Anolis sagrei: one gene and its partners. The protein of the gene in region 1 purifies or fractionates together with the protein of each later gene. This does not show direct contact. Links are inferred from orthologs where the notes say so. Each region holds a gene or a part of one and is shown in the gene's direction. Other genes may lie near its edges.

Evidence for each region.
Region 2: the proteins of SMARCD1 (region 1) and DPF2 purify together in Homo sapiens (affinity purification with mass spectrometry; 9 studies listed by BioGRID and IntAct, counting the BioPlex papers as one, with this or other methods). This does not show direct contact. The link is inferred for Anolis sagrei from reciprocal best matches to the Homo sapiens genes SMARCD1 and DPF2.
Region 3: the proteins of SMARCD1 (region 1) and BCL7A purify together in Homo sapiens (affinity purification with mass spectrometry; 5 studies listed by BioGRID and IntAct, counting the BioPlex papers as one, with this or other methods). This does not show direct contact. The link is inferred for Anolis sagrei from reciprocal best matches to the Homo sapiens genes SMARCD1 and BCL7A.
Region 4: the proteins of SMARCD1 (region 1) and BCL7B purify together in Homo sapiens (affinity purification with mass spectrometry; 4 studies listed by BioGRID and IntAct, counting the BioPlex papers as one, with this or other methods). This does not show direct contact. The link is inferred for Anolis sagrei from reciprocal best matches to the Homo sapiens genes SMARCD1 and BCL7B.

The regions. Positions count from the first base shown.
Region 1 is NC_090022.1:140,190,563-140,198,014, forward strand, and holds the start of SMARCD1 (SWI/SNF-related matrix-associated actin-dependent regulator of chromatin subfamily D member 1), read left to right. Parts: upstream 1-4,446; 5' UTR 4,447-4,471; coding exon 4,472-4,642; intron 4,643-4,777; exon of another isoform or gene 4,778-4,891; coding exon of another isoform or gene 4,892-4,933; intron 4,934-6,898; coding exon 6,899-7,086; intron 7,087-7,452. UniProt on the Homo sapiens protein: Involved in transcriptional activation and repression of select genes by chromatin remodeling (alteration of DNA-nucleosome topology).
Region 2 is NC_090032.1:10,258,473-10,265,921, reverse strand, and holds the start of DPF2 (zinc finger protein ubi-d4), read left to right. Parts: upstream 1-4,442; 5' UTR 4,443-4,470; coding exon 4,471-4,502; intron 4,503-4,515; exon of another isoform or gene 4,516-4,739; intron 4,740-7,449. Other genes in the region: FIBP (acidic fibroblast growth factor intracellular-binding protein), read right to left, coding at 1,809-1,919, 4,040-4,301. UniProt on the Homo sapiens protein: Plays an active role in transcriptional regulation by binding modified histones H3 and H4. Is a negative regulator of myeloid differentiation of hematopoietic progenitor cells. Might also have a role in the development and maturation of lymphoid cells.
Region 3 is NC_090034.1:32,155,493-32,162,388, reverse strand, and holds the start of BCL7A (B-cell CLL/lymphoma 7 protein family member A), read left to right. Parts: upstream 1-3,883; 5' UTR 3,884-4,095; coding exon 4,096-4,187; intron 4,188-6,896.
Region 4 is NC_090031.1:33,200,465-33,208,146, reverse strand, and holds the start of BCL7B (B-cell CLL/lymphoma 7 protein family member B), read left to right. Parts: upstream 1-4,662; 5' UTR 4,663-4,675; coding exon 4,676-4,830; intron 4,831-7,073; coding exon 7,074-7,149; intron 7,150-7,663; coding exon 7,664-7,682. Other genes in the region: TBL2 (transducin beta-like protein 2), read left to right, coding at 1,125-1,581. UniProt on the Homo sapiens protein: Positive regulator of apoptosis. Plays a role in the Wnt signaling pathway, negatively regulating the expression of Wnt signaling components CTNNB1 and HMGA1.

The DNA.
Region 1 (7,452 bases):
AACTACAACCCGCATATGTCAAGATTTTCCCCCAAGAGCGCCTCAAGAGCGCCCCTGGGCAAAATCAACTATACTGCAAATGCTTACTTTGCATAATGGGTTGAGCCGCCCCTGCTTGGGAGATGTAGTTTTATATGGTTTTTAGCTTTCCCTGTGAAAAAGGGGTGGTATCTTACCAAATTACTACTCCCATGACTCCACAGCATTGAGCTAAGACAGTTAAAGTGGTGTCAAACCACATTCATTCTACAGTGCAGATGCACGCCAAATCAGTAAAAAAATGTACCATCCATAGTAATGACCAGTTGACCTAATTCTAGGCAAAATTTCTGGCTGAAAGGCATGGGCCAATGAAGAACAATGGGAAGCCTATGTAGCCCAGCAGCCTGCCTATGTAGCCCAGCAGTGATCAGTTTGATTGGCCTGCTAAGCCAAGGTGAGAGACCCATCAGGACAAGAGCACAATGCCGCACTCCCTTCATGCCTCCCAGAAAGAGAGATACAGCAGAGACCTATTCCCTCTGATCCTGGGGGCAATACACAGCCACCATAGCGAGTGGTATGGATAACCACAACCTTCATGAGAAGGCTGGTGCCTGAATGCAAGCAATCATGGATCTATAACTGAACAAGTTATCTTAGCAGGGTGCTCCCTTCTCATATCATGAGTATGATGTCAAGCACAAATACCCCCCCTCCCTCCAATCAACCACCAAATTATATGAACTTGGTGGCATGGCAGAGTGTTCCGCAGGTTAACATGGCTTTTATTTTTATCAGAATGAATTATGCAAAAATCCGAAGGTCTGGAGAAATCCAGCAGCATATACCAGCGCCCAGAGAATACCTCCTAATCCCATTAAGGTTTAAACTTTTTTTAAAGCATCACTTCTGCATTCTTCAGCTGTGCCAACAATGGCCCGGGCCACATGGCCCAGACCCCCCAGAGCCCCAGGACAGGGCCCATTCATAGCCTCATCCTCCAAATAGCCCCTCATAAACAACCATTGCCACCTCCTAACCACTCTGGGAGCCCCAGCAGGCTCCCAAGCCCTATTTTGCCTCTTTTTGCATTTTACTGGTATTGTAGACATTCACTTATCCGCAGATCTATATAACTTTCCTCTCTCAATTAACCTACCTCATAATCCCCTTCCTTGCACTGAATCCCCTATCCCATCACCTATGTCAACCCAACCCCCTGTGGATACGGAGATTCAGATGATCTCCCTCTTCACCCATGGGTTCATTTGCATATGTTTCCCTGGGGGGGGGGGTCAGCTTGTCTAATGTCTAGATACCTTTGCCTTCACAGAACCCTCATGTATATGTTTATCTTTTCCTTCCTATTATTTCACCTGTTTTCCCCAATGGATGCCCAGGGAGATTGACTCCCTTTGTTAACCTCATGTAGCCCCTCGTGCATGTGTCCCTATGTCCCCTGGATAGTGGGTCTCTGTGGGTCAGGTCCCCCACAGTCCTTGGGATTCCCCTTTGTGTGTATATGTTTAATTTCTTTATGCTTTGTATTATATAAAACTTGGAGAACCAGCCACCATGGTGACCTTTCAAGCCAGCACGTCTTCGCTCAGGGACACCTCCAAGCCACTCCCTGAGCTACAACTTGATAACCTTGGATGTAATCACCCAGCAATTGTGAACGGTACCCAGGCTACATGGAACAAGAGATATTGGAGCAGGGCCATCTGTAAACTATGTAGCCACTTGGACTTCTATAGACATTTACCACGAGAGAGAGAGAGACAGATCTTGTGTGAGGAGCGACTTGAAAAACTGCAAGTTGCTTCTGGTGTGAGAGAATTGGCCATCTGCAAGGACGTTGCCCAGGGGATGCCCAGATGTTTTTGATGTTTGACCATCCTTGTGGGAGGCTTCTCTCATGTCCTCGCATAAGGAACTGGAGCTGATAGCTCATCCGCGCTCTCCCCAGATTCGAACCTGCAACCTGTCGGTCTTCAGTCCTGCCGGCACAAGGGTTTAACCCACTGTGCCACCGGGGACTCCACATAGACATGACATGTTCTCAATGGGGAGAAGTTCGCTGTCTTGTTTTCCTACATGTCACTTCTGTTTTCCCAGGCACGAATCAATGATCCAATCACCCAAAGCAATATTTTTTTGTTGGACAACAAAGGACATTGGTGCGGAGTCATCACCCCACAAAGTCAGAAATTCACAGGACCATTTGCAAAACAATAAAATACTCAGCGATACCTTAATCCCATTCGATTTTTCCAACTTGTTACTATGTTGCTGTTGTGTAAAGTTTCCGTTCAGCCCCTCTTCAGCCATTGGAGAGCACTACATCTATATCCGAGGCAAGGAAAGTTCTCCCATGACCAGTGAACACCGCAGTCACACCTCTGCAGAGAGACTCCTCTGACATCATCGGAGTTTGGCCAATCACAGCCAATCTGGGTCCAGTTGCGGGCAGTGGGAATTTTGAATCTGTACTGTATAAAATGCTTACTTTTACTATGTCTGTATCTCAGCTTACTTTGGTGGGATACTGCGGGTTGAGATCTCAACCAGCTGATTGAATAAAATACTTTGGTGGCTCCATCTCCAATTTAGCTCACCAGGCGCTCGGACTCGTGAAATGGTTGTCGACTGGTACCAGCTGCTGCTTAACAGAGCCGGTATCTGTGCCTTCAGGTTCCAGTATCCATGGCAGGGTCTCATCCATGACCGTTTTAAATTGCTCTCAATTTCAAGTAAACACACAAAAAATAAATAAATTAAGTTAAAAGCTTGGAGTCGTGGTTTGAGTGACTCTAGAGACCAGCTAAAATAAGTTAACATTCAGGTTAACGTAAGTCAGAAATAACTTGAAAGTACACAACAAAAAGGGAAATTACATTAGGATTGGGCTACCTAATCCTCTCTGAATCAAGCCTTATAATGTGCTCCTTAGACCAGACCCATCCACGTCAACAGGGCGTCCTTTTCAGTCAAGGCCATATAATGCAGTTTAAAACTAGTCTTCACGCATGGTTTATTTAACTCATATCATATCTTGTGTGATTAATGTGTATTTTACAGAAATGCTTTGATTTGTATCTTTTATGGAAATTAATTTTAATATGTTTGTAGAATTTTTATAATTGTTAACTGTGCTGTGGGAAGGCTGTGGGAAGGCAGATAGGAAATACAATTATTATTACTATTATTATTACATTACATATGGCCAGTGTAGGCTCATATTAATGCAGCCTAGTACAGTTCAAAATACACGAGTCTGCACTTATATAATACAGTTCCAAAGTAATAAGGGCCTTATCACACTCCACTCTTAAATGGCTATTGTTCCACTTTAATGGTAATGGCAATATTTTGCAGAATGACCTAGCTTATAGTTTAGCAAGGCCCAGTAGCTTTTTTGGCTGACAACAATAAATGGCCTGGGTTTCTGTGAGTTTTCTGGGCTGTATGGCCATGTTCCAGAAGCATTCTCTCCTGATGTTTCGTCTGCATCTATGGCTGGCATCTTCAGAAGTTGTGGCATGTGTTGGAATCTAGGCAAGTGGGGTTTATATATCTGTGGAACATTCCGAGTGGGAGAAAGAACTCGTCTTGGGTTGTTGTAGGTTTTTTCGGGTTGTATGGCCATGGTCTATAGCAGGGGTCCTCAAACTTTTTAAACAGAGGGCCAGGTCACAGTCCCTCAAACTGTTGGAGGGCCGGATTATAATTTGGAAAAAAAAAAAACATGAATGAATTCCTATGCACACTGCATGTATCTTATTTGTAGTGCAAAAAAACCCACTTAAAACAATACTGTAATTAAAATGAAGAACAATTTGAACAAATATAAACTTATTGGCTGATGAGATAGGATTGTTGTTGTTGTTGTTGTCGTTGTGTGGTTTCAAGTCGTTTCACACTTAGTTTGATCCTGAGTGAGGGCCGGATAAATGACCTTGGAGGGCCGTATCCGGCCCCCAGGCCTTAGTTTGAGGACCCCTGGTCTAGAGGCATTCTCTCCTGACGTTTCGCCTGCATCTACGGCAAGCATCCTCAGAGGTAGTGAGGTTTCACTACCTCTGAGGATGCTTGCCATAGATGCAGGCGAAACGTCAGGAGAGAATGCCTCTAGACCATGGCTATACAGCCCGAAAAAACCTACAACAACTCAGTGATTCTGGCCATGAAAGCCTTCGACAACTTTTGGCTTGTTTGAGGCAAGTGTGAATGTTGCAATTGGCCACTTGATTAGCATGGAATGGCCTTTCCCCATACGAACAGAGAAGGGCGCTCCTGACGCAGGCTGCAATGGCAGGCCGCCGTCCAGCAGGGGGAGTCCCGCGGGGCGCTCCTCTGCGCCTCTCTCTCTCCCCAGCCGGCGGCGCTCTACCCGCCCGCGGGCGGCGTCTCCATGGTGCAGCGGCGCTCCATCTCCTGAGCCGACATCCGCCTCCCCTCCGCGCTTTGTACTGCCCAGGGAGGGAAGATGGCGGCGCGGGCGGGCTTCCAGGCGGTCGCTCCGAGCGGTGGCGGCGGCGGAGCCGGGCCTGGAGCGGGGCCTTTAGGGCCTGGCGCCGCGGGGGGGCCTCCGGTGCGGATGGGCCCGGCCCCGGGGCAAGGGATGTACCGCTCGCCGTTGCCCGGCGCCGCCTACCCGGTACCGACCCGGCCGGGCTTGGGAGGGGAAAGAGAGGAGGCGAGAAGGGGCGGGGCCAGGAGGGGGCGGGGCTTGGCGGGCGATGACGTCGGCGGAGGGAGCCGCACTGCAGTGGGCGGGGCCTGGCAGGCCTAGAGGGAGGGAGAGGGAGGAGGGGAGCCATTCCAGAAAGATGGAGGCGGAGAAGAGGGCGCCATCCTTTCAGGGGGGATTTGGGGGATAGTAGGCTCTCTTGAAAGAGAGGGCAATATGGGGGTGAGGCTGCAAGGGCGAGTGGGGAGAGACTCCGGGGTGAGCATGACGCCCTCGAAAGGGGGAATGGCGGGGGATCCAAGGGACACGGGGCTTCAAGGGGGGAGGGAGAGGGGGAGGGGAGGCAGGGCGGGGCTGGGCCAGAGGGCCTTTTGTGGCTTGCCTCTCTTCGATTTCACTGCCTTTGTAGCATCTCCCTCCGCCTGAGTGTGTTTTCCTTTTTTAACAAGGAAACAAAAGGAGAACAATGTCTCAGCATGAAATCAGAGGCATAAAATTATAGTTATGTCCTTGCTAGTGAGCTGGGGTATTTTATTAGGATTTGAATTTATCTATTTTAAACCATTCTACATTTAATTTTCTTTCAAGTTTATGTTGTTTATTGTGTTGTTTTTTAGCCTGTGGGGGAGGGCGCTTTGAGTCTCTTTATGAGAGAAAAAGCAGGATATAAATAAATAAATATTATTATTAAGGTTCCTTCTCCGGAGGTTTTTAAGCAGACTATCTGTCGGGAGAGCTTTGATTGTGTGCTCCTGCATGGAAAAATGGGGTTGAAGTGGAGGGCCCTTGCAAATCCATAGAATCCTAGTGTTGGAAGAGACCTCATGGGCCATCTAGTCCAACCCCCTACCAAGAAGCAGGAAAATTGTATAAAGCACCCCTGACAGATGGCCAACTGTATGATGCTAGGATTCTATGATTTAGTACTATTTATTTATTTTGTATCAAAAGCATTGCTTGAATTAGTATAAACTAATAAAAATAGAAGGAGTGCAGGCGGCTAAGTATCTTTTGACCAAAAACGGGCAACAGCAATGGCATTGTCTGTAGCCTCCAACAGTTCTTCCTTTGTACGTGAGGCAAGGCATAGTGGACCAAGCATACAGATGCGGAGTTGTCTGTTCTGCTCCATAGTCATACAATAATAATGGGCGAGGGTTCAGGTTTCTGGACCCAGAGGTGCTGAAAAGATATTGAAGCTAAAGGCTGGCTTATGCAGTTAGTAAGGCTAAATGATAAGTATTTTTTCATTACTTTGCATGTCAAGTAAGAGTTGCATGGCTGGATGCTTAACTGTTGGGAAGGTAATGACTTTTCTTTACATGGAGGAACAGCATGCAATGGCTGGGCATAGGCCAAACACTCTCAACCTCCAGCTGTTTGGGCCTCCGTCTCCCAGAATTCCTGACCATTGAACAAGCTGGCATGGGCTTCTGGGACCTGAAAGCCCAAATAACTGGAGGGCCACAGTTTGAAGAGACCTAGCATAGACTGAGAGGGCCTGTCATTGGTGCTGCTTATTTGGGGTGGGGGGGGGGGGGAGTGAAGAGAGAAATCAGTCCTGAGGGCTTGAAAGCTGTCTGGGGGGGTGGGATCTCTGACTCTGTGCAAAGGGCTACAATCCCCTCCCCACTCTGTCCAAAAGCACGCACCTTGTATAGTGAGTCTCTAGGCATGGGCAAACTTGAACCCTTCCAGGTGTTTTGGACTTCAACTTCTGCAATTCCTAACCAGCCCAGGCCCTTTCCTTTTCCCCCTCATCCCCTTAAGCATTCCAGCCTAAGAGAAAAGAGAACTTTCTGGGAAATGTTACATTTTTGGAAAGGAGGGAGAAAATAACCTATAGGAACAGATTTAGATATTCCAGAAAGGACTGTGAGCCAGCTTCTTGTATAAACCAGTTGTAATAAATGTTCTTTGCAACTAAGGATAAAACTATTGCAGAAGAATGAATGCAGTTTAGCACCACTTTGGTTCCATACTTTGGAGTTGTGGGAGTTTTAGTTTGATGAGACATCATCACTCTTTGGCAGAGAAGGCAAAGGACCCTTTAAAATTACAACTCCCAAGATCCCATAGTATGGCGCCATGGCAGTTAAAAGTGATGTCAAACTGCATGAGTTCTACACTGTAGATGAACCCAAGGTGTTTTGCTGTTGAGTAACCAGTGCTTTTCCTGACTGAACACTGGTAATCACAGGGCTGTTTTTCCTCCTTTCCCAGCGTCCCGGGATGCTGCCTGGCAGCCGCATGAACCCCCAGGGACCTGCAATGGGGCCTCCGGGGTATGGCGGGAGCCCTTCAGTCCGACCAGGGATGGCTCAGTCAGGGATGGACCAGTCTCGCAAGAGGCCAGCCCCTCAGCAGATCCAACAAGTGCAGCAGCAGTCCGTGCAGAATCGTAATCACAAGTAAGAAGCGCTTTTTCTCCTCTAGGGGTGGGGGACTACAACTCCCATTGCCCAACTATATTGGAATAGGATGACGGAAAATGTAGTATAATACACCAAGTTGGGGAAGGCCAGTTACAGATTTCTTTTCAGATGTGTCTTTAAAAATACCTTATACTAGTGTTTCAGTAACATGATCTTAAAGTTGGAAGATGGGGTGACAGAAGCTACAAAATGAGAGGTTGAGGCAGTATGAGCCCTGGTAATTGTCCCAATCAAATTAGGCGCGTGGATTCTTTTTTTTTTTCAGTAGTGAGTCAACATACGTGTAGATCTCATAACTTCAGTGAGTCCACTCTATCTGGATCTGTCAGTCAAATTTGGACC
Region 2 (7,449 bases), on another chromosome or scaffold:
TTCCAAATGACAAAACCATTTTTTTTGAGTGAAGGACATACATGGGGTTGTTAGGTGTCTTGTGTCCAAATTTGGTGTCAATTCGTCCAGTGGTTTTTGAGTTCTGTGAATCCCACAAACGAACATTACATTTTTATTTATATAGATATATATACACACACAGTATACAATCAAATCACACACACACAAATATACATATATATGTATGTATGTGTGTGTATACAGGAATCCAAAGCCAAGAGTATTTTAAGGCAAATCTTGCTTCACAATGAGTCTTGTTTGACCTTGCGCCTTCAAGGTGGGCTGGACTGCAATTCCCAAGCAATATATGGCCACATTGAGAGATCAGGTTTAGCCCCAAAACTCTGCCCTTGCACTATGCTACTCTGCTGCTGAGTACGCATGCCCAGTGTGGAACACATCTCACCACACTAAAACAGTGGATGTGGCTCTTAATGAGACATGCCGCATTATCACAGGGTGTCTGCGCCCTACACCACTGGAGAAATTACACAGCTTAGCCGGTATTGCACCACCTGACATCCGCCGGGAAGTAGCAGCCAATAGTGAAAGGACCAAGGCAGAGACATCTCCAGCTCATCCCTTGTTTGGGTATCAGCCAGCACGTCAATGACTTAAATCAAGACATAGTTTTCTTAGATCTACAGAGACACTTGCTGGAACACCCCAGCAAGCGAGAGTCCAAAAGTGGCAGACCCAAACCCAGCACCTCAATCCATGGGTGATACCAGATGAACGACTCCCCCCTGGGCACTCAGAAGAGTGGGCGACTTGGAAGGCTCTGAACAGACTGTGCTCTGGCACCACGAGATGCAGAGCCAACCTTCAGAAATGGGGCCACAAAGTGGAATCCACGGCATGCGAGTGCGGAGAAGTGCAAACCACACACCACTTACTCCAATGCAGTCTGAGCCCCGCTACATGCACAATGGACAGGGGCGGCTCAACCCATTACACAAAGTAAGCATTTGCGGCATAGTTGATTTTGCACAGGGGCGCTCTTGGGGGAAAATAGACCTTGACATATGTGTTGTTACTGGGATGTATAGTTCACCTACAATCAAAGAGCATTCTGAACTCCACCAATGATGGAATTGAACCAAATATGGCACACAGAACTCCCACGATGAAAGGAAAATATATATCAGTGATTGGTTGGGGGGGGGGGGGGAATACTGTTTGCTTACCATTGAAAATTACCTAGGGCCACCTCTGACAATGGAGGACCTTCTTACAACTGAAGTCGAACGTGACCCCCCCCCCCACCCTCTCCCCAGAGATAGTAACTTATAGTTTTGCTAAGGGCAAGGACACCAGGCTGGATAACAAAGGTTAAGCCTTGGTCAGTTTGGTGGGTATCATTCAATCAAGGCTTTATGCTCTATTCTCATATGTTTACAGCAGGAGGTAACCCATTTATTACTGAAAATAATAAGAGTTGCAGAGATGCAGAGCCAATCTTAAGAAATGGGGCTATAGGGTGGAATCCTCGGCATGCGAGTGTGGAGAAGAGCAAACCACTGACCACCTGGCACCTTGAGCCCTGCCACATGCACCATGGAGGACCTTCTTGCGGCAACCCCAGAGGCACTCCAAGTGGCCAGATACTGGTCAAAGGACATTTAACCAACTACCAAGTTTGCAAAATCTGTGTTTTTTTTTCTTTTCTTTTTAATCTGTGTGTTTGTTTTGTTCTGTTAGAATTGTAATATAATGGTATAGTTGCTGATGACACGATAAATAAATAGCCCCAAAACAAAGAAAGACACCTGAGACACCTGTCGCACCTGAATAGCCATCCAGCCAGAGCTGGTAGACCTCCTCATCGATGAGAGTAGTGTTCCCCACGAAGATGTCCAGATTGCTGGCCATGTTGCCTCTGAAGATGGAACAGGAAGCTGCAAAAGGAAGGTAAAATATAATTCATTTACATCAGGCATGGGCAAACTTCATCCCTCCAGGTTTTTTGGACCTCAACTCCCACAATCAAAGGTTTCAAGCTCTGAGGATTTCCTGGAAAGGAATCTCTCTGGAGCACTGCAGTACACCCAAATACCTGGGAGTTACTCTGGACTGTACTCTGACTTATAAGAAGCACTGCTTGGTGGAGAGGTGGCTGCCAAGAGAGCAGAAATGGTCCACATTTACTAACGTTACACCGTTACGCTGTATTCCTGGCATTGGAGAGGGATTGGCTGGTGACTGCTGGAAGACCACTTGGGTTTTCTCGATGTTCAATGTCATTGGAGTTTATTTATTTATTTATTTATTTATTTGGTTTACTTTTACCCCGCCCTTCTCACCCCGAAGGGGACTCAGGGCGGCTTACACATCCAAGGCACAATTTGATGCCCATAGCATACATCAATAATAAGCAATAAAACAAAATAACAAATTAGCAAACAACAACAACAACAACACATTGCATCTAAACCCGTTAAAACCAATAAAACCAATAAAATTTCATACAAACCGATACAAACCGCTTCTTCCTTCTTGGCAGTCAGTGTTCGCTATCTCATGGTTCAGAGTTTTCTTCCACATTTATCAGTCCACATATATCAGTCCTGCCGGTCCTAATTGCCTGGTTGTCCTATCTAGTTAGCAGATTGCCCGAAGGCCTGGTCCCACAACCACGTCTTTGCCTTTCTCCTAAAGGACAGGAGTGATGTCGATGCCCTGATATCCACTGGGAGTGAGTTCCACAGGTGGGGGGCCACCACTGAGAAGGCCCTGCTCCTCGTCCCCACCAGCCTTGCTTGGGAAAGCGGTGGAGTCGAGAGCAGGGCCCCCTCAGATGATCTTAAATTCCGTGGTGGGACGTAGAGGGAGATACGTTCGGACAGATACGCTGGACCGGACCCGTACAGGGTTTTGTAGGTCAAGACCAGCACCTTGAATTGGGCTCGGAACTGAACCGGCAGCCAGTGGAGCTGACACAGCAGAGGGGTGGTGTGCTCTCTGTATGTCGCCCCAGTGAGCAGCCTGGCTGCCGCTCGCTGGACCAGTTGAAGTTTCCGAACCGTCTTCAAGGGCAACCCCACGTAGAGCGCGTTGCAGTAGTCTATTCGGGATGTAACAAGAGCGTGGACCACTGTGGCCAGATCAGACTTCCCAAGGAACGGGCGCAACTGGTGCACAAGTTTTAATTGTGCAAAAGCTCTCCCGGCCACCGCTGAGACCTGGGGTTCCAGGCTCAGCGATGAGTCCAGGATCACTCCCAAGCTGCGAACCTGCTTTTTCAGGGGGAGTGTAACCCCGTCTAACACAGGCTGTAACCCTATTCCCTGTTCGGCCTTACGACTGACCAATTACTTGCTAGGAAGTGCATCAAGGGGACGAGTATACACTGGGACAGGCATGGCATTATTGTTCATTCCTCAAAAGCAAGGTGGAACAGCCAAGTTTTCAAGCTTTTCCTAAAATATCACATGAAAGCTGTTCCTCTTTATTTTCCCATCTTTCCTTTAGTTGCTTTCCCTCATTCCTCCCTCCCTCCTTTTCTCATGTCTTCTTTCTCCTTCTTTCCTTCTCTCTTTCCATCATACAGAGAAGCCATTGAAATCCACAAGCATGAGGACAATTTCAACAGAAAGGAAGAGACCATGAAAATGAACAAAATCTGGCTACCAGTATTAAAAAAAACTCTAAAATTACAATAGCAAAACAACAGAGGGGAAACAAACAGGCACAGAAAATCACTCTCAACAAAAGATTCCCCCCAGGCACTTCCAAGCCATTGAATGCTAATCAAGCTGGCCAATTGCAACATTCACACCTAGCCCCAGCAGACAAGAGTCCTTTGTCCCACCCTGGTCATTCCACAGATATATAAACCCATTTTTCCTACTTCCAACAGACCTCATTACCTCTGAGGATGCTTGCTATAGATGCAGGCGAAATGTCAGGAGAAAATGCCTCTAGAACATGGCCTTATAGCCCGGAAAAACCTACAATAACCCAGTGATTCCGGCCATGAAAGCCTTCGACAATACATTCTGCCCCTCTCTCTCCTTACCTTTTCTCCTCTCAACCACAACCACCACCTTTCTCTGTAGTAAATAAGACCTTTTGACCCTCTTCCTGGCCAAACTGGGGCTCACGCATGCGCAGACCCCGAGTGTCACTCTCCAGGCGCCATCTTGGCTCCTGGCACTGCAACCTCTCCTCTTAAGATTCCACAGCCAACCGCATTCATAGCGAAACGCAGTCTTGTCTTTTTTTTGGTCGCTCAGGGCATCCGTCGAAGCCTCCTGTGGCGTAAAAAAAAATGAGATCATTCAACGCATGCGCACACAAACTACACCCCGTTCTCGGGATTGAACAGCATGAGCTGGGAACAGCGAAGGGTCATGCGCAGCCACGGAGCGCATGCGCCGTGCCGTGCGCGAGCATCCCTCATGAGAGCCCGAGCGGGCGGTTCGCGCAGGCGCAGTTGAGGCGGGCAAGATGGCGGCGGTGGTCCAGAATGTGGTGAAGCTGTGAGTGGAAATTTTCCTCTTGTGTTCCCCCCTCTTTTCCGTCAGGAGTGGTACAGCCCGAGCCTTTGCGAAGCGGGAGCAGAGGGCGGGCCCATTCCATTCGCAGGGGGGAAAGGGGAAATCTTTGTTGAGGGAGAAGGAGGAGAGTTGTTGGGTCTTTTTTCTTCTCATTGTTTGGCCCTAAAGTTTATGATACATATGAGCAGGATATAGTGGAGCCAGAGGAGAGAAACACAGGTGAGTCAGTGCCTTAAAGTTTCCAAAGTAAGGTTTGTGGAAGGGAAATAACACTTTTGTTACTTGAGGCGGGCCTGAGGGAAAAGGAGGCCTTCAGGAATGGAGGAAGGACAACTCCACCTCAATGAATGGTGTCCTGAGGTGGAAGGGATGTTGTTGGTGTATACTAAAGTGTGCATTGCCTGGGTTTGCTTTTTCTTTGAAGCTCTTTCTTTCCTTCCTTCTCTCTTTCCTTCATCTTTCCTTCTTCCTTCCTTCTTTTCCCATGTCTTCTTTCTCCTTCTTTCCTTCTCTCTTTCCTTCATACTCCTTCGCCCTCTCTCTTTCCCTGCCTTCCTTCAGTTGCTTTCCCTCATTCCTCCCTCTCCTTCCTTCCTTCCTTCTTTCCTCCCTCCCTCCCTCCTTCCCTCCCTCCTTCTTTTCTCATGTCTTCTTTCTCCTTTCCTTCTCCCTTTCCTTCATACTTCTCCCTCCCTCTTTCCCTTCCTTCCTTCAGTTGCTTTCCCTCATTCCTCCCTCCCCTCCCTCCCTCCCTTCCTTCCTTTTTCTCATGTCTTCTTTCTCTTTCTTTCCTTCATACTTCTTCTCCCTCTCTTTCCCTTACTTCCTTCAGTTGCTTTCCCTCATTCCTCCCTCTCCTTCCTTCCGTCATTCCTTCCTTTTTCTCATGTCTTCTTTCTCTTTCTTTCCTTCTCCCTTTCCTTGATACTTCTTCTCCCTCTCTTCCCTTCCTTCCTTCAGTTGCTTTCCCTCATTCCTCCCTCTCCCTCCTGCCTTCCTTCTTATGTCTTCTTTCTCTTTCTTTCCTTCTCTCTTTCCTTCATACTTCTCTCTCTTTCCCTTCCTTCCTTCAGTTGCTTTCCCTCATTCTTCCCTCGCCTTCCTTCCTTCCTTCTTTCCTCCCTCCCTCCTTCTTTTCTCATGTCTTCTTTCTCTTTCTTTCCTTCTCTCTTTCCTTCATACTTCTTCTCCCTCTCCTTCCTTCCTTCTTTTCTCAAGTCTTCTCTCTCTTTCTTCCCTCTCCCTTTCCTTCATACTCCTTCTCCCTCTCTCTTGTCCTTCCTTCCTTCAGTTGCTTTCCCTCAATCCTCCCTCTCCTTCCTTCCCTCCCTCCCTCCTTCTTTTCTCATGTCTTCTTTCTCCTTCTTTCCTTCCCTCTTTCCTTCATACTTCTTCTCCCTCTCTCTTTTCCCCACCTTTTCTTCAGTTGCTTTCCCTCATTCCTCCCTCTCCTTCCTTCCTTCCTTCCTTCCTTCTTTTCTCATGACTTCTTTCTCTTTCTTTCCTTCTCTCTTTCCTTCATACTTCTTCTCCCTCCCTTTCCCTTCCTTCAGTTGCTTTCCCTCATTCCTCCCTCTCCTTCCCTCCCTCCTTCTTTTCTCATGTCTTCTTTCTCTCTTTCCTTCATACTTCTTCTCCCTCCTTGCCTTCCTTCCTTCAGTTGCTTTCCCTCATTCCTCCGTCTTCTTCCTTCCCTCCTTCCTTCTTTTCCTTCTCTCTTTCCTTCATACCTCATACTCACTCTCTCTTTCCCATCTTTCCTTCATTTGCTTTTCCTCATTCCTCTCTCTTCCTTCCTTCCTTCTTTTCTCATGTCTTCTTTCTCCTTCTTTCTTTCTCTCTTTCCTTCATACTCCTTCTCCCTCTCTCTTTCCCTTCCTTCCTTCAGTTGCTTTCCCTCATTCTTCCCTCTACTTCCTTCCTTCCTTTCTTCTTTTCTCGTGTCTTCTTTCTCTTTCTTTCCTTCTCTCTTTCCTTCATACTCCTTCTCCCTCTCTTTCCATTCCTTCAGTTGCTTTTCCTCATTCTTCCCTCTCCTTCCTTCCTTCCTTCTCTCCCTCCTTCCCTCCATCCTTCTTTTCTCGTGTCTTCTTTCTCTTTCTTTCCTTCTCTCTTTCCTTCATACTCCTTCTCCCTCTCTTTCCCTTCCTTTAGTTGCTTTCCCTCATTCCTCCCTCTCCTTCCTTCCTTCCTTCCTTCCTTCCTTCCTTCCTTCCTTCCGTCTTTTCTCATGTCTTCTTTCTCTTTCTTTCCTTCTCTCTTTCCTTCATACTTCTTCTCCCTCTCTTTCCATTCTTTCCTTCAGTTGCTTTCCCTCAGCCTTCCCTCTTCTTCCTCCCTCCCTCCTTCTTTTCTCATGTCTTCTTTCTCCTTCTTTCCTTCTCTCTTTCATACTTCTTCTCCTCCCTCTTTCCCTTCCTTCAGTTGCTTTCCCTCTTTCCTCCCCTTCCTTCCCTCCTTCCTTCCTTCCTTCTTTTCTCATGTCTTCTTTCTCTTTCTTTCCTTCTCTCTTTCCTTCATACTTCTTCTCCCTCTCTTTCCCTTCCTTCCTTCATTTGCTTTCCCTCATTCCTCCCTCTCCTTCCTTCCTTCCTTCCTTCCTTCCTTCCTTCTTTTCTCATGCCTTCTTTCTCTTCCTTTCCTTCTCCCTTTCCTTCATACTCCTTCTCCCTCTCTCTTTCCCTTCATTCAGTTGGTTCCCTTCCTTCTTTCCTTCCTCCCTCCCTCTCCTTCCTTCCTTCCTTTCTCATGTCTTATTTCTCTTTCTTTCCACTCCCCTTCCTTCAGTAGCTTTCTTTCATACCTCCTTTTTCTTCCTTCCTTTCCTTTCTCATCCTTTTTCTTGACTTTTTCTTTTTCCTTCCCCCTTTCATACTTTCTCCCTCTTTCTTTTCCTTCCTTCTTTCAGTTGCTTTCCCTAATACCTCCT
Region 3 (6,896 bases), on another chromosome or scaffold:
CTTCCTGAGACCACTGAGACCCTCGCCAATGACTGATCAAGACCAAACTTGGCACACAGAGTCCCCATGACCCACTCTACATCCTGGTGCACTTTCGAGGAGGACAGACCATGGATGATGGGACTTCAAGTACCTCCACTCCCTTCCCAAGATTGCTGCAACCCTCATCTAATGACCAATCTAGACCAAACTTGGCACACAGAGCCCCCATGACCCACTCTACATCCTGCTGCAGTTTTAGAGGAGGGTTGACCATGGATTATGGGACTTGCAGTACGTTTACTCACTTACTGAAACCACTGCTACCCTCATCCAATGACTGATCAAGACCAAACTTAGCACACAGAGCCCCCATGACCCACTCTACATCTTGGTGCAGTTTGGAGGACAGACCATGGATGATGGGACTTCAAGTACCCCCACTCCCTTCCCAAGATTGCTCAACCCTCATCTAATGACCAATCTAGACTAAACTTGGCACACAGAGCCCCCATGACCCACTCTACATCCTGCTGCAGTTTTGGAGGAGGGTTGACCTTGGATTATGGGACTTGCAGTACGTTTACTCACTTACTGAAACCACTACGACCCTAATCCAATGACTGATCAAGACCAAACTTAGCACACAGATCCCCCATGACCCACTCTACATCCTGCTGCAGTTTGAAGGAGGATGGACTTTGGATGATGGGACTTGCATTACCTTCACTCACTTAGTGAAAGCACTACCACCCTCATCTAATGACTGATAAAGACCAAACTTGGCACACAGAGCCCCCATGACCCACTCTATATCCTGCTGCTGTTTGGAGGAGGGTGGACCATGGATGATGGCACTTCAAGTACCTTCACTCACTTCCTGAAAACAATGCAGCCATTATCCAATTACCAATAAAGACCAAACTTGGCATACAGAACTGCCATTACCCACTTTCTCTAATAACCCGGGCAGCGCCGGGTCCCCAAGCTAGTATATAATAAAAGTCAAAGTTTGTATGCGGCGGAAGTGTGGCGGTGTATGTGCAGGCTTTTTGATTGGCCAGCCAGAAAGTTCCAAGATTCCGATTGGCCGCCAATGTGGTGCTATTTGCATATGGTCTCTGATTGGCCAGCTCCAACAGGAGCCCCTGGTGGAGAAAAGGGTTCATGGCAGAAACGGAGACATGAGAGAAGGAAATTTGCATATGGTCTCTGATTGGCTAGCCTCAATTCCAAGATTCCGAGATGACAAAGAGAGGAAAGGAAAAGGCCAGGGGCTCTGTCAGAAAATTACCAATACAGACCAAACTTGGCACACAGAGCCCGCAAGACCCACTCTACATCCTACTGCAGTTTGGAGGAGGATGAACCATGGATGATGGGACTTGCAGTACCATCACTCACATTCTGAGACCGCTGTTAACCTCATCCAATGACTGATCAGGACCAAACTTGGCACATAGACCTCTCATGACCCACTTTACGTCTTGGTGTGGTTTGGCTGGTAATGGACCATGGATTATGGGACTTGCAGTAACTTGGCTCAATTCTTGAGACCACTGCAACCCTCATCCAATTACCGATAAAGACCAAACTTGGCACACTGAGTCTCCATGACCCACTCTACATCCTGGTGCAGTTTGGAGGAGGATGCACCATGGACGATGGGGCTTGCAATACCTGCACTCCCTTCCTAAGACCATTACAACTGCCAACAATGATGGATCAGGACCACAATTTACACAGAGAGCCTGCATGACCCACTCTACATCCTGGTGCGGTTTGGAAGAATTTGATAATGGATGATGGGACTTGCAGTCACTTCACTCACTTCCTGAGACCACTGAGACCCTTGCCAATGACTGATCAAGACCAAACTTGGCACACAGAGTCCGCATAACCCACTCTACATCCTGGTGCACTTTCGAGGACAGACCATGGATGATGGGACTTCAAGTACCTCCACTCCCTTCCCAAGACGGCTGCAACCCTCATCTAATGTCCGATGAAGACCAAACTTGGGACACAGAGCCCCCATGACCCACTCTACATCCTGATGCTGTTTGGAGGAGGGCGGACGATGGATGATGGGACTTGCAGTACCTTCACTCACTTCCTGAAACCACAGCGACACTTATCCAAATACCAAGAAAGACCAAACTTGGCAGAGAGAGCCCCCATGGCCAACTCAACATTCTGGTGAGATTTGGGGGAGAACAGACTATGGCTGATGGGACTTGCAGTACCTAAACTCACTTTCTGAGACCACTGTGACCCTCACCCAATGATTGATCAAGAACAAAACTTGGCACACAGAGCCCCCACGACCCACTCTCCATTCTGGTGCAGTTTGGAGGAGGAAGGACCACAGATGATGGGACTTGCAGTACCTTCACTAACTTCCTGAGACCACTGCGAGCCATATAAATCACTGATAAATAAGCAACCTTGATACATAATTCCTTTCTCAAATTACCCGGGCAGTGCCGGGTCCCCAAACTAGTATATAATAAAAAAAGGAAAAAAAACACAAAAAAGTGGATGTGTCTCTTATTGGGACATGCCACATTATCACAGGATGTCTACGCTCTACACTGCTGGAGAAATCATACTGTTTAGATCAGGGGTCCTCAAACTTTTTAAACAGAGGGCCAGGTCATAGTCCCTCAAACTGTTGGAGGGCCGGATTATAATTTGGGAAAAAAACATTAATTAATTCCTATGCACACTGCACATAGCTTATTTGTAGTGCAAAACACACTTTAAAACAATACAATAATTAAAATGAAGAACAATTTTAACAAATATAAACTATCTCTGATGAGATGGGATTGTTGTTGCTGTGTGCTTTCAAGTAATTTCAGACTTAGGTTGACCCTGAGCGAGGGCCAGGTAAATGAACTTGGAGGGCCACATCCGGCCCCCGGGCCTTAGTTTGAGGACCCCTCGTTTAGATGGTATTGCACCACCTGACATCTGTCGGGAAGTAGCAGCCATGGGCATCTCTGGCCCATCCTGTTTGGATATCAGCCAGCACGCCAACGCTTTAAACCAAGAGACAGCTTCCTAAGATCTACAGAGATACTTGCAGGAACACCTCAGCAAGCGGGAATCCAAAAATGGCAAGCTAAAACCCAGAATCTCAATCAGTGGCTGAAACCAGATGAGAAACTCCCTCCTGGGCACACAGAACAGGCTGCGCTCTGGCGCTACGGGAGGCACAGCCAATCTTAAGAAATGGGGCTGCAAAGTGGAGTCCACAATATGCACGTGTGGAGAAGAGCAAACTGCTGACGACCTATTACATCGCAACCACATACACAATTGAGGACCTTCTCACAGTGACACGAGAGGCATTCCAAGTGGCCAGCTTCTGGTCAGAGGAAATCTGGTATAATGCCAAGCTTTTAACTTTCCTTGTATTTTTTAATACATTGTAACAGTATTCTCAACTGGCTTGTGACACATAAAATAGCGAATGGCATTGGGACTGCATGGCGTTTGGGGTCTCTTCGAAGAAGAAATGGAGGGCCTGGCGGGCTTTCCTTTTGGACACCAGCCCTATGGGAACTTGTGGTTGGGCTTGCGATGCTTTGGGACTGGTCTTCTCCTTTGTACAAATGGTGCTTTATGGACTGCAGAAAAGAAGGTGTTTTAGAAGGCGGTCGTTAAACGCCTCAAGTCCCCTCAGGCTTGGCTCTCCACTTTTGGAAAGGCTAGGCGTCAACAGACAACGAGCCTTTCCCAAGGTAGAGGGCCAACCCTGAGGGAACTCCATGCCCTCAGCGGCCAAATGGGCGGGAAGGCTGCCTCTCGCACAGGTCCCGCCCCCAACGGGCTCGGGAAGGCTACGTGCTCCGCGCTGGCGCCTGCGCAGTGCCGCCTCCGCGTGCTGCTCCTCCCTCCCTGCCTGCCTTCTTCCCTCGAGGCGGGCTGAGGCGGGGAGGAGCCTTCATTGTGCGTGAGGGGGCCAACCAGCCAGGCCGGACTTGTTCTCCCTCTGCTGCTGCTACCGCTGCCTCTTGTACCTCCTCAGCGAGGGAGGGAGCCGTCCATTCGGAGCCTGCCTCCCCCCCCCCCCGCGCCGCGTCCAACCCCCTTCGCCGCCTCAGCAGCATGTCGGGCCGGTCGGTGCGGGCCGAAACCCGCAGCCGCGCTAAGGATGATATCAAGCGGGTGATGGCCGCCATCGAGAAAGTCCGCAAATGGTGAGGGGAGCAGAGGGCACAGGGTAGTCCTTTTTGGGGGAGGAGTTCCTTTGGAGAATAAGGGAAGGGGGCAGCCCTTAGAACCCGCCCTCCCCCCTCCAAGTGCTGGCTTCCTTTGGGGCAGATAGGCTCGCTCTTCTCTCTCTCCCCCACTCCACCCCCGCTCTTCCTTCGCCTGCCTCTCCTCCAGCTCTTCCCTTCAGTTGCTTCTACCCCCCCCCCCAAACAGGCCCCGCCCCCTCCTGGGTCGCTTCCTAGTGCCCCACATCCCTTGGCCTTGTCTGCCCTCCCTTTCTCCCCTTCCCAATCTGCTCCAGTCTTCTTCAGACAACCCCCCTTCACAGCCAAGACTTGCCCCATAACCCCCAAGGCAAGACTTCTCCCCCCCTTCCCCTGCTAGGGGATCCATTCCTCCCCAGGTTCGGTTTCCCTCACCCCACTCCCAGCACTAGCCTTGGTCCTGTGCCCTCCTTGGCTCCTTTGGCCTCTTCCCCCCGCCACCCTGCCCATTCATTCTCCTACGCAGCCGCCTCTCTTATTGGCCCAAGGCCTTTGCTTTCCCTGCCCCCATGACCCCTTCACAGCTCAGCCCTGACTGACCCACCGACTTCTCATTCCCTCCCGCCCTAGATTTCTTTTCATACTCTCTTTCAAAAGAGCATTTGCTCTTTCAGAAGGATCCACATTAGAAGCTGTCTGTCGTTGCATGGCGTTGGTTTTTAGAAGTAGACCTATTCGAAAAGGCCAAAAAATGTGGCTATACAACAGCTCCTAACGTCCTGGTCAGTCCCCACCCCCCAAACCTGGCCAGTATTCCCCAAACCTGGCCAAGTTTGCCATGATGGATGTGTGTACCAAGTTTGGCCCAGATTCATCATCAGCTGGGTTTAGAGGAGTCTTTTGTTTGTGGCTGAACTATAACTCCCAACATCCAAGGACAATTCCCTCCCAACTTGTCAGGACTGAAATTTGGTCCTGTGGGGGTCTGCGTGCCAAATTTGGTCCAGATTTGTCGCTGGCAGGAGTCATGGGACTCTCTCTCAATGTGAGAGCCATCTTGAACACATAGATACAAGCATACATTCATACATACAAACATATTTTCACTTTTATTAGATAGATAGATAGATAGATAGATAGATAGATACTTCAGCCTGTGATGCACCCCAGGAGTGGTTTCATCCTCTCCCATTTTGTTCTGCTGGACCCTTCTTCAGACCAGCAGAGTATTCAAATCTCTGTTCTCCTCTGTCTGAACTCTTGTAGCCTTTTCTGTCCTATCCTGACTTTTTCTCCTGTTAGCCCCCCCCCCCCCCCAATAGCTAGCAATGAATCTGGTTTACATACAGAATTGGATCATTACTCCAGTTCAACTACTCTCCACCCTACTTTGATCAGTGAGATCTTTTTGAACTGGGGACTCCTTTTCTCCCTTCCCAATCTGCCCCTGATTGGGACTTCTCCAGGTGAAGCATGTACCTGAGTTACAGTCCCATCTAAGGATCTCCTGACTTCCTTTTCACCTTTTTCAGGGCCACTCTTCCCAGAGGGCACATCCCTCATTTCTGTGAATATTCATATTCTTAGGGGGGGGGGGGAAACCCTTCTCAATCTGCTTTTGAGTGGACTCTTGCCGCTCATGGGCTCATCTCTCATCCTCACCTTCCGGTGAACTTTTGCTGTTCTGGCTGCTTTTCTCTTTGTGCAGCCTCTTTCTGATCAGTCCTAAAGTGTCATTTGACTCCCAATTGGTTCCCTTTCCTTTTGTCTGAAGCGTGGAAGATCGGAGAATGTGCTTTGTGGCCTATATATCTTTATTTTCTTTCTCTCTCTCAAATCAGAAGGATTTGATATTAAATAGGCACAAAAATGGCAAATAGGATGGGCGTTTATGTGACAGGCTTACTTTGCTGCAAAAGAAACGTTTCATCTTTTCCTTCAAAACCTTTGTGCACTTTCAAGTGTGAAGGGTTAGCTTAAATCCGTTTCAGACACTTTTCAGAAGGGAGGCTTGAAAGAATAGTTTTTTCCTTTAAATGCCATATAAAGGGCAAAATATGTACATCCCCCAATATTTTAATTGGAATGGGTCAACCAGATGGATCTATTATAAAGGTTTATTTCACACAGTAAGTCAAATGTATGCTGGTATGTATTGTTTGATTTGTACAATTTAAATTCAGTGTTAGAAAGAGGTTGTAATTGCTGCTTGAATTTATTTGAAATTATATAATTGAAGGTTGTAACCTGGTAGAATCATCCCCTTTTGTTAAACCTTTACAGCATTTTAGCGTTTCATTCTTTTGCAGGGGGTTATTGTGTAGTTTCTATTGTGGAAGTCATTGTGGCATACTTAAAACAATGCAGCGAAATGGTTATTGAGAGACAATAGGCAATCATGGTGTCGTTTGGTATTTTTGGATCAGATGACATGATATGAATGTAATTAGAGAGTCTTATTTTGGTGAACTTGATTGTGTTTTTGTAATTTTAGCCTGTTTTGTGTTGGGCAAGTGAATAGCTCATACAGAGCCGGTGTCCTTCAATTTCATGTAGCTCAAGATTTTGTGTCTGATAAAACAGAGCCAGGTTTTGTTCATCTCTAGGTGTTTATGAATGGAATCCAGCAAATAGATTTATACTGCTCTTTTCATACTGGATGGTCTCTGTTTTAAAAGCTAGAAGGCTTGTTAGCAGTCCATTCAACTT
Region 4 (7,682 bases), on another chromosome or scaffold:
TTGTACTATGCTAATAATACACTATAATATATTGTATGTATATATATATCTTGTAAGCCACTCTGAGTCCCCTTCAGGGTGAGAAGGGCAGCATATAAATGTTGTAAATAAATACATTTTGGAATTACGGCACACAGAATCCCCCAGATAGCTAACTGTGTATAGATTATGTGTACAGATATTCATTTCGTCTCAAAAGCATTGCATAAATTATTGTTGAAGGCTTTCATGGCCGGAATCACTGGGTTGTTGTAGGTTTTTTCGGGCTATATGGCCATGTTCCAGAGGCATTCTCTCCTGACGTTTCACCTGCATCTATGGCAAGCATCCTCAAAGGTTTTTTTTTTTTTTTTTGGTCGTGTCAGTAGCAACTTGACAAACTGCAAGTCACTTCTGGTGTGAGAGAATTGGCCGTCTGCAAGGACGTTGCCCAGGGGACGCCCGGATGATTTGATGTTTTATCATCCTTGTGGGAGGCGTCTGTCATGTCCCTGCATGAGGAGCTGGAGCTGATAGAGGGAGCTCATCCGCCCCTCCCCGGATTCGAACCTGCGACCTGTCGGTCTTCAGTCCTGCCGGGACAGGGGTTTAACCCACTGCGCCACTGGGGGCTCCTCAGAGGTAGCTCCAACAGACAAGAGTTGTTTGTCCTACCCTGGTCATTCCACAGATATATAAACCCTTTCCCTAGTTCGAACAGACCTCACTACCTCTGAGGATGCTTGCCATAGATGCAGGCGAAACGTCAGGAGAGAATGCCTCTAGAACATGGCCATACAGCCCGAAAAAACCTACAACAACCCATTGCATAAATTAGTATAAAACTGATAAAAATAGGTGTGCAGGTGGCTAAGTATCTTTTGACCAAAAACGGGCAACAGCAACGGCATTGTCTGTAGCCTCCAACAATTCCTCCTCTGTACATGAGGCAGGGCATAGTGGACGAGCCTACAGATGCGGAGTTGTCTGTACATGAGGCAGGGCACAATGAACAAGCACACAAATGCAGAGTTGTCTGTTCTGTTCCATGGTCACACTGTGTGTACAGATAGATAGATCTAGATAGAAGTGTACTCGGCCACACTGTTGGCTCACGTTTCCTCGCTTTCCCTCTCTCGGAATAGGATGGCCACGGTCTCAAAGGACGGGACGTGGAAGCTGTGGGACACGGACGTGGAGTACAAGAAGCAGCAGGACCCTTACCTCCTCCTGACGGGGAAATGCACAGCAGAGGCTCCCTGCCGCATCGCCCTCTCGCCGGACGCCCGGGCCGTGGCCATCTCCAGCCGCACCAACATCGCGCTCTACAACACCCGGCAGGGCGAGGAGGAGGAGCGCTTCGAGGGCGTCCACGGGGAGCACATCACGGACTTGGCCTTCGACGTGAGCGGCCGCTTCCTGGCCTCGGCTGGGGACCGGGCCATCCGGGTCTTCCACAACACTGTGGGCTACAAGGCGGTGATCCAGGAGATGGCCACCCTGATGAAGAAGGCCACCAACGAGTCCACCAAGGAGAGACTGCGGCAGCAAGTGGCCAGCGCCCAGAGAGCCCTGGACAGCATCTATGGCAAGCGCAACTGAGCTTTTCAGTCGCGCATTGGGAGAGCTAATAAATACAAAAATAGTATTTTTTTGCACAATTTTCCACCATGTTGGGTTTCTTTGGATCATGAGTCAACAAAAAAGCCAATGCAATCCTAAGCTGCCTCCATAGGAGTCTATTGTCCGGCTCAAGGGGAAATCATATAGGATAGGGGTCTCTCAAGCAAGGTCATTGGTGCGGCTTCCAATCTAAACTTTAGCTCGAGGGTCACCCTAAGTCTCCAGTGGCATCGACATCTGTGATAATGCGGCGTGTCTCATTAAGAGCCACATCCACTGTTGTAATGTGGGGAGATGTATTCCACACTTGGCATGCATATCCAGCAGCAGAGTAGCAAAGCGCAAGTGCAGGTGTCTTCACTGTGTCTGGTTGTGATCCCCAGGTTGTGCCAGTCCGCTTCCGTATGATGTTATTTCTAGCACCCACCTTTTACTTGATAGCAAAGCAGTGCTTCTCGTAAGTCAGAGCACAGTCTGGCATATCTCCCAGGTATTTGGGTGTGCTGCAATGCTCCAGTGGGATTCCTTCCCAGGTAATAATCCTGAGATGCTTGTCTGTTCAGACGATGAAAACCACACGTCTGCATTTTAATGGATTAGAAATCAGTTGGTTTTCCCAGTAATAGACAGCAAGAGCACCAAAGCTTTGAAGAGCTTCCGTTCAACCATTTCAAAGCTTCGTACTTGGGCAGTGATGGCACGATCGTCAGCATAGATAATTTCCTCAGAACTCGAGATGCTTGTCTGTTCTGAAAGTGAAAAGCAAACGTCTGCATTTTAGATGGGTTGGGAATCAGATCATTTCCCCTCTCAATAGGTCGTAAGAGCACCTAACACTTTGGAGAGCTTCTGTTCGACCATTTCAAGACACCCGGCTTGGGCGATGATGGCATGATCGTCAACATAGATTAGTTTAGATCAGGTGGTGCAATATATTATATTATTAGCACAATATCAGCATTATACATTCCCATATTGTACTATACCACTATACTGTAATATTATTAGTAATACTACATGTAATATAAAATATATAAATCTTGTATTATTATTAGTATTATATTGTATTACATTATAATATAATTATTAATACAAGTGTATACATTATATTATTAGTACAGCACAATATTAGTATTATATATTATTATATTGTACTATTCCACTATATTGTAATATTATTAGTAATATTACATATTATATAAAATATATAATTCTTATATTGTTTTATTATTAGTAATATTACATGTAACATAAAATATATAATCCTTCTTTGTATTATTATTATTATTAGTACAATATATAATACTGATATTGTGCTAGCCTTATAATATAATTTAATATAATATATTGTATAAAGGATTATACAATATTATTAGTATTGTATTGTATTACATTATAATATAATTATCAATATTATATGTGTATACAATATATTAATAGCACAGTACAATATTAATATTATATATTACAATATTGTATTATTCCTCCATACTCTAATATTACATGTAATATAAAATATATAATCCTTATATTGTATTATTATTATTAGTATTACATATTGCATTATAATATAATTATCAATATTATACGTGTATACAATATATTGCTTAGGCGATCCCTCGTTGGACGAGTAAGATGGTCTTCCTTGATGACTATTTTTGTGGGTTTGTAGGTGGCTGCGGAGCCCTCTTCTTGACCCGCATCTTCTCCCACAGTGAAGGCATTGGTTTCCAGGTGGAAGGCGGATCCAGTCGGGTTTGGCTTGACGCGCCTTCCTCCTGGCACATTTCTCTCTTTCACCCTCTACTCATGCCTCCTCGAATTCTGCAGCACTGCTGGTCACAGCTGCCCTCCAGCTGGAGCGGTCAAGGGCCAGGGCTTCCCAGTTCTCAGTGTCCATGCCAGAGTTTTTAAGGTTGGCTTTGAGCCCATCTTTCAATCTCTTTTCCTGTCCACCAACATTGAGTTCGGAATAGAGCAACTGCTTTGGGAGACGGTGGTCAGGCATCCGGACAATGTGGCCGGTCCAGCAGAGTTGATGGTGGAGGACCATCGCTTCAGTGCTGGTAGTCTTTGCTTCTTCCAGCCCGCTGACGTTTGTCCGCTTGTCTTCCCAAGAGGTTTGCAGGATTTTCCAGAAGCAGCGCTGAAGGAATCGTTCCAGGAGTTGCATGTGATGTCTGTAGACAATCCACGTCTCGCAGGCATAGAGCAGGCTTGGGAGGGGAATAGCTTTATAGACAAGCACCTTGGTCTCCCTACGGATGTCCCTGTCCTCCAACACTCTCTACTTCATTCGGAAGAATGCTGCACTCGCAGAGCTCAGACGGTGTTGTATTTCGGTGTCGATGTTGACTTTGGTGGAGAGGTGGCTGCCAAGGGAGCGGAAAGGGTCAACATTTTCTAATGTTACAACATTAAGCTGTATCTCTGGCATTGGGGAGGGGATGGCTGGTGTCTGCTGGAACAGCACTTTGGTTTTCTCGATGTTCAGTGACAGGCCAAGCTTTGTGTATGCTTCTGCGAAGGTGTTTAGAGTGGCTTGTAGGTCTTCTTCTGAATGCGCACAGACGACATTGTCATCAGCATACTGGAGTTCTATAACAGCAGTTGTTGTAACCTTGGTTTTGGCTTTCAGTCTGCTGAGGTTGAATAGTTCTCCAAAGTTGTTTAGAGTGGCTTGTAGGTCTTCTTCTGAATGCGCACAGACGACATTGTCATCAGCATACTGGAGTTCTATAACGCCAATATATTAATATAATATTTTATATTATACCCTAATATAATATTATATATTAATATAGAAATCTATATAAATCAGTATAATATACTCAAAAACCTAATGCATGTAAATCTTTTTAGAAAAAAAAATCATGAAAATATGCAAATGATTGCAAATAGTCCCAAGCATGTCATTGAAAAGAGACACATCCCTTCTTTCCAGCTTGCAGACTTTGGCGCATGCGCACTCTCCGCCGGCTCCGCCACTCTTCCCTCCTCCGCCTCCCAGTGGGCGGGGCGAAGGCGATGACGCGTTACGCAGGGCGGTGTGGGCGGGGCGTCCTGCGCGCGCATGCGCACTCCCTCCTCCGAGAACGGCGGCGGCGAGAGTCGTCGCCGGGTCCAAGCGGGCGCCATGTCGGGCCGGTCGGTGCGGGCCGAGACCCGGAGCCGCGCCAAGGATGACATCAAGAAAGTCATGGCCGCCATCGAGCGCGTCCGCAAGTGGTGAGGAGGGGACGGGGAAGGGGAGAGGAGGGAGGGGGCTCGAGGAAGGAGCGCGCCGGCCTTTCAGCCAATCGCCGGCAGAGGCCGAGTGAGTGACAGCGCGACAGCCAATCAGCGTGATGCGTGGAAGCCCTTTTCAGAAAGTCACCGAGCGAGCCACGCGATTGGTGACAACGGCGGCCAATCAGCGACGTGACAGAAAGGAACCCTGGATTGACGTTTATGTAGCCCAATAGGATTTGAGGAGCTCGGGTTGCCATGGGGGCAAGGGTGGGCCTTTGGTTCCAGGCCTAAGCTGGCAGATTTGCATATTCTCAGTTTATTTGCATAGTTGATTTACATACTGTCATTCATTCAAAGGGAAGGCTGGCCATTGCCTTGACTGGCCTATAGAGAGATAGAAATATATATATATATATATATATTATATGATTATACAATATAATAATAATGCAATATTATAATTATATATTTTATATTACATGTAATATTACTAATAATATTACAATATAATGGTATAGTGCAATAGAATTCTAGAATCCTAGAGTTGGAAGAGACCTCACGGGCCATCCAGTCCAACCCCATTCTGCCAAGAAGCAGGAATATTGCATTCAAATCACCCCTGACAGATGGCCATCCAGCCTCTGCTTAAAAGCTTCCAAAGAAGGAGCCTCCACCACACTCCGGTGCAGAGAGTTCCACTGCTGAACGGCTCTCACAGTCAGGAAGTTCTTCCTAATGTTCAGATGGAATCTCCTCTCTTGTAGTTTGAAGCCATTGTTCCATTGCGTCCTAGTCTCCAAGGAAGCAGAAAACAAGCTTGCTCCCTCCTCCTCCCTGTGGCTTCCTCTCACATATTTATACATGGCTATCATATCTCCTCTCAGCCTTCTCTTCTTCAGGCTAAACATGCCCAGCTCCTTAAGCCGCTCCTCATAGGACTTGTTCTCCAGACCCTTGATCATTTTAGTCGCCCTCCTCTGGACACATTCCAGCTTGTCAATATCTCTCTTGAATTGTGGTGCCCAGAATTGGACACAATATTCCAGATGTGGTCTAACCAAAGCGGAATAGAGCATGGGGAGCATGACTTCCTTAGATCTAGACACTATGCTCCTCTTGATGCAGGCCAAAATCCCATTGGCTTTTTTTGCCGCCACATCACATCCCTGGCTCATGTTCACCTTCCTCCCCACGAGGACTCCAAGATCTTTTTCACACGTACTGCTCTCGAGCCAGGCCTCATCGTCCCCCATTCTGTATCTTTGCATTTTGTTTTTCCTGCCAAAGTGGAGTATCTTGCATTTGCCACTGTTGAACTTCATTGTGTTAGTTTTGACCAATCATCTCTCTAATCTGTCAAGATCATTTTGAATCCTGCTCCTGTCCTCTGGAGTATTGGCTCTCCCTCCCAATTTGGTGTCGTCTGCAAACTTGGTGATCAATATAGTAATATATAATACTGATATTGTGCTATGCTAATATAATATAATGTAAATAAATTGTACGAAATATAATTTTTCTAATATTATAATGTAATGCAATATAATACTAATAATAATGTGATAGTATAGTTATATATTTCTATTACATGTAATATGACTAATAATGTTACAATATAATGGTATAGTACAATATAGTGATATATAATACTGATGTTGTGCTATGCTAATAATATAATGTAATGTACTATATTGTATAAACATAATATTTATAATATTATAATGTAATGCAATATAATTCTAATAATAATACTCTGATATTATAATTATACATTTTATATTACATGTAATATTACTAATAATATTACAATATAATGGTATAGTACAATATAGTAATATTTAATACTGATATTGTGCTCTCCTAATAATATAATGTAATGTACTATATTGTATAAACATAATATTTATAATATTATAATGTAATGCAGTATAATTCTAATAATAATGCAATATTATAATTATATATTTATATTACATGTAATATTACTAATAATATTACAATATAATGGTATAGTGCAATATAGTAATATTTAATACTGATATTGTACTATGCTAATAATATAGTATATTATATGTTTATGTGTGTGTGTGTGTATATATATATATATATTGTAAGCCACTCTGAGTTCCCTTTGGGGTGGGAAGGGCGGCATATAAATGCTGTGTGTGTGTGTGTGTGTGTGTGTGTGTGTGTGTATATATATATATATATATATATATATATAAATTATTCTTTTCCAGGGAGAAGAAGTGGGTGACAGTGGGAGACACCTCCTTGCGGATATTCAAGTGGGTCCCTGTGACGGACAGCAAAGAGGTAAGTACATGTTTCAAAAGACAACATTGATGCCTTTGGCAGGAGACACATCCATCCAGTCATTCTAACCCCCTTCTGTCGGTCAAGAAGGCATCGTCAAAGCCCTCCCAACAGATGCTCATCCAGCCTACCAAGAAATGTCTTGGGATATGCTATATTATTTTTATACATATTATATAGACCTTATTTATTATATCAATATTATCTAGTACTATATAATACTAATATTGTGCTATGCAAATAATATAATTTATTTATTTATTTAGTATATTTGTATACACTTCTCAGCCAATCGGCGACTCTCTCCCTTTGGGGTGAGAAAGGTCAGCATTTAAATGTAGTAAATAAATACGCCAAGAAAACAAGCCATATCGAGCTGGAAGGGACTCCCCAAAGGCCTTCCATCACAACCCCCTTTTGCCAGAAATACACAGTCAAAGCCCTCCCAGCAGATGCTCATCCAACCTCTGCTGGTAGCCCAACTCATGGCCTTCCTTCTCTTCTCGCTTTCAAGAAAGAGAAGTCCAAGTCCG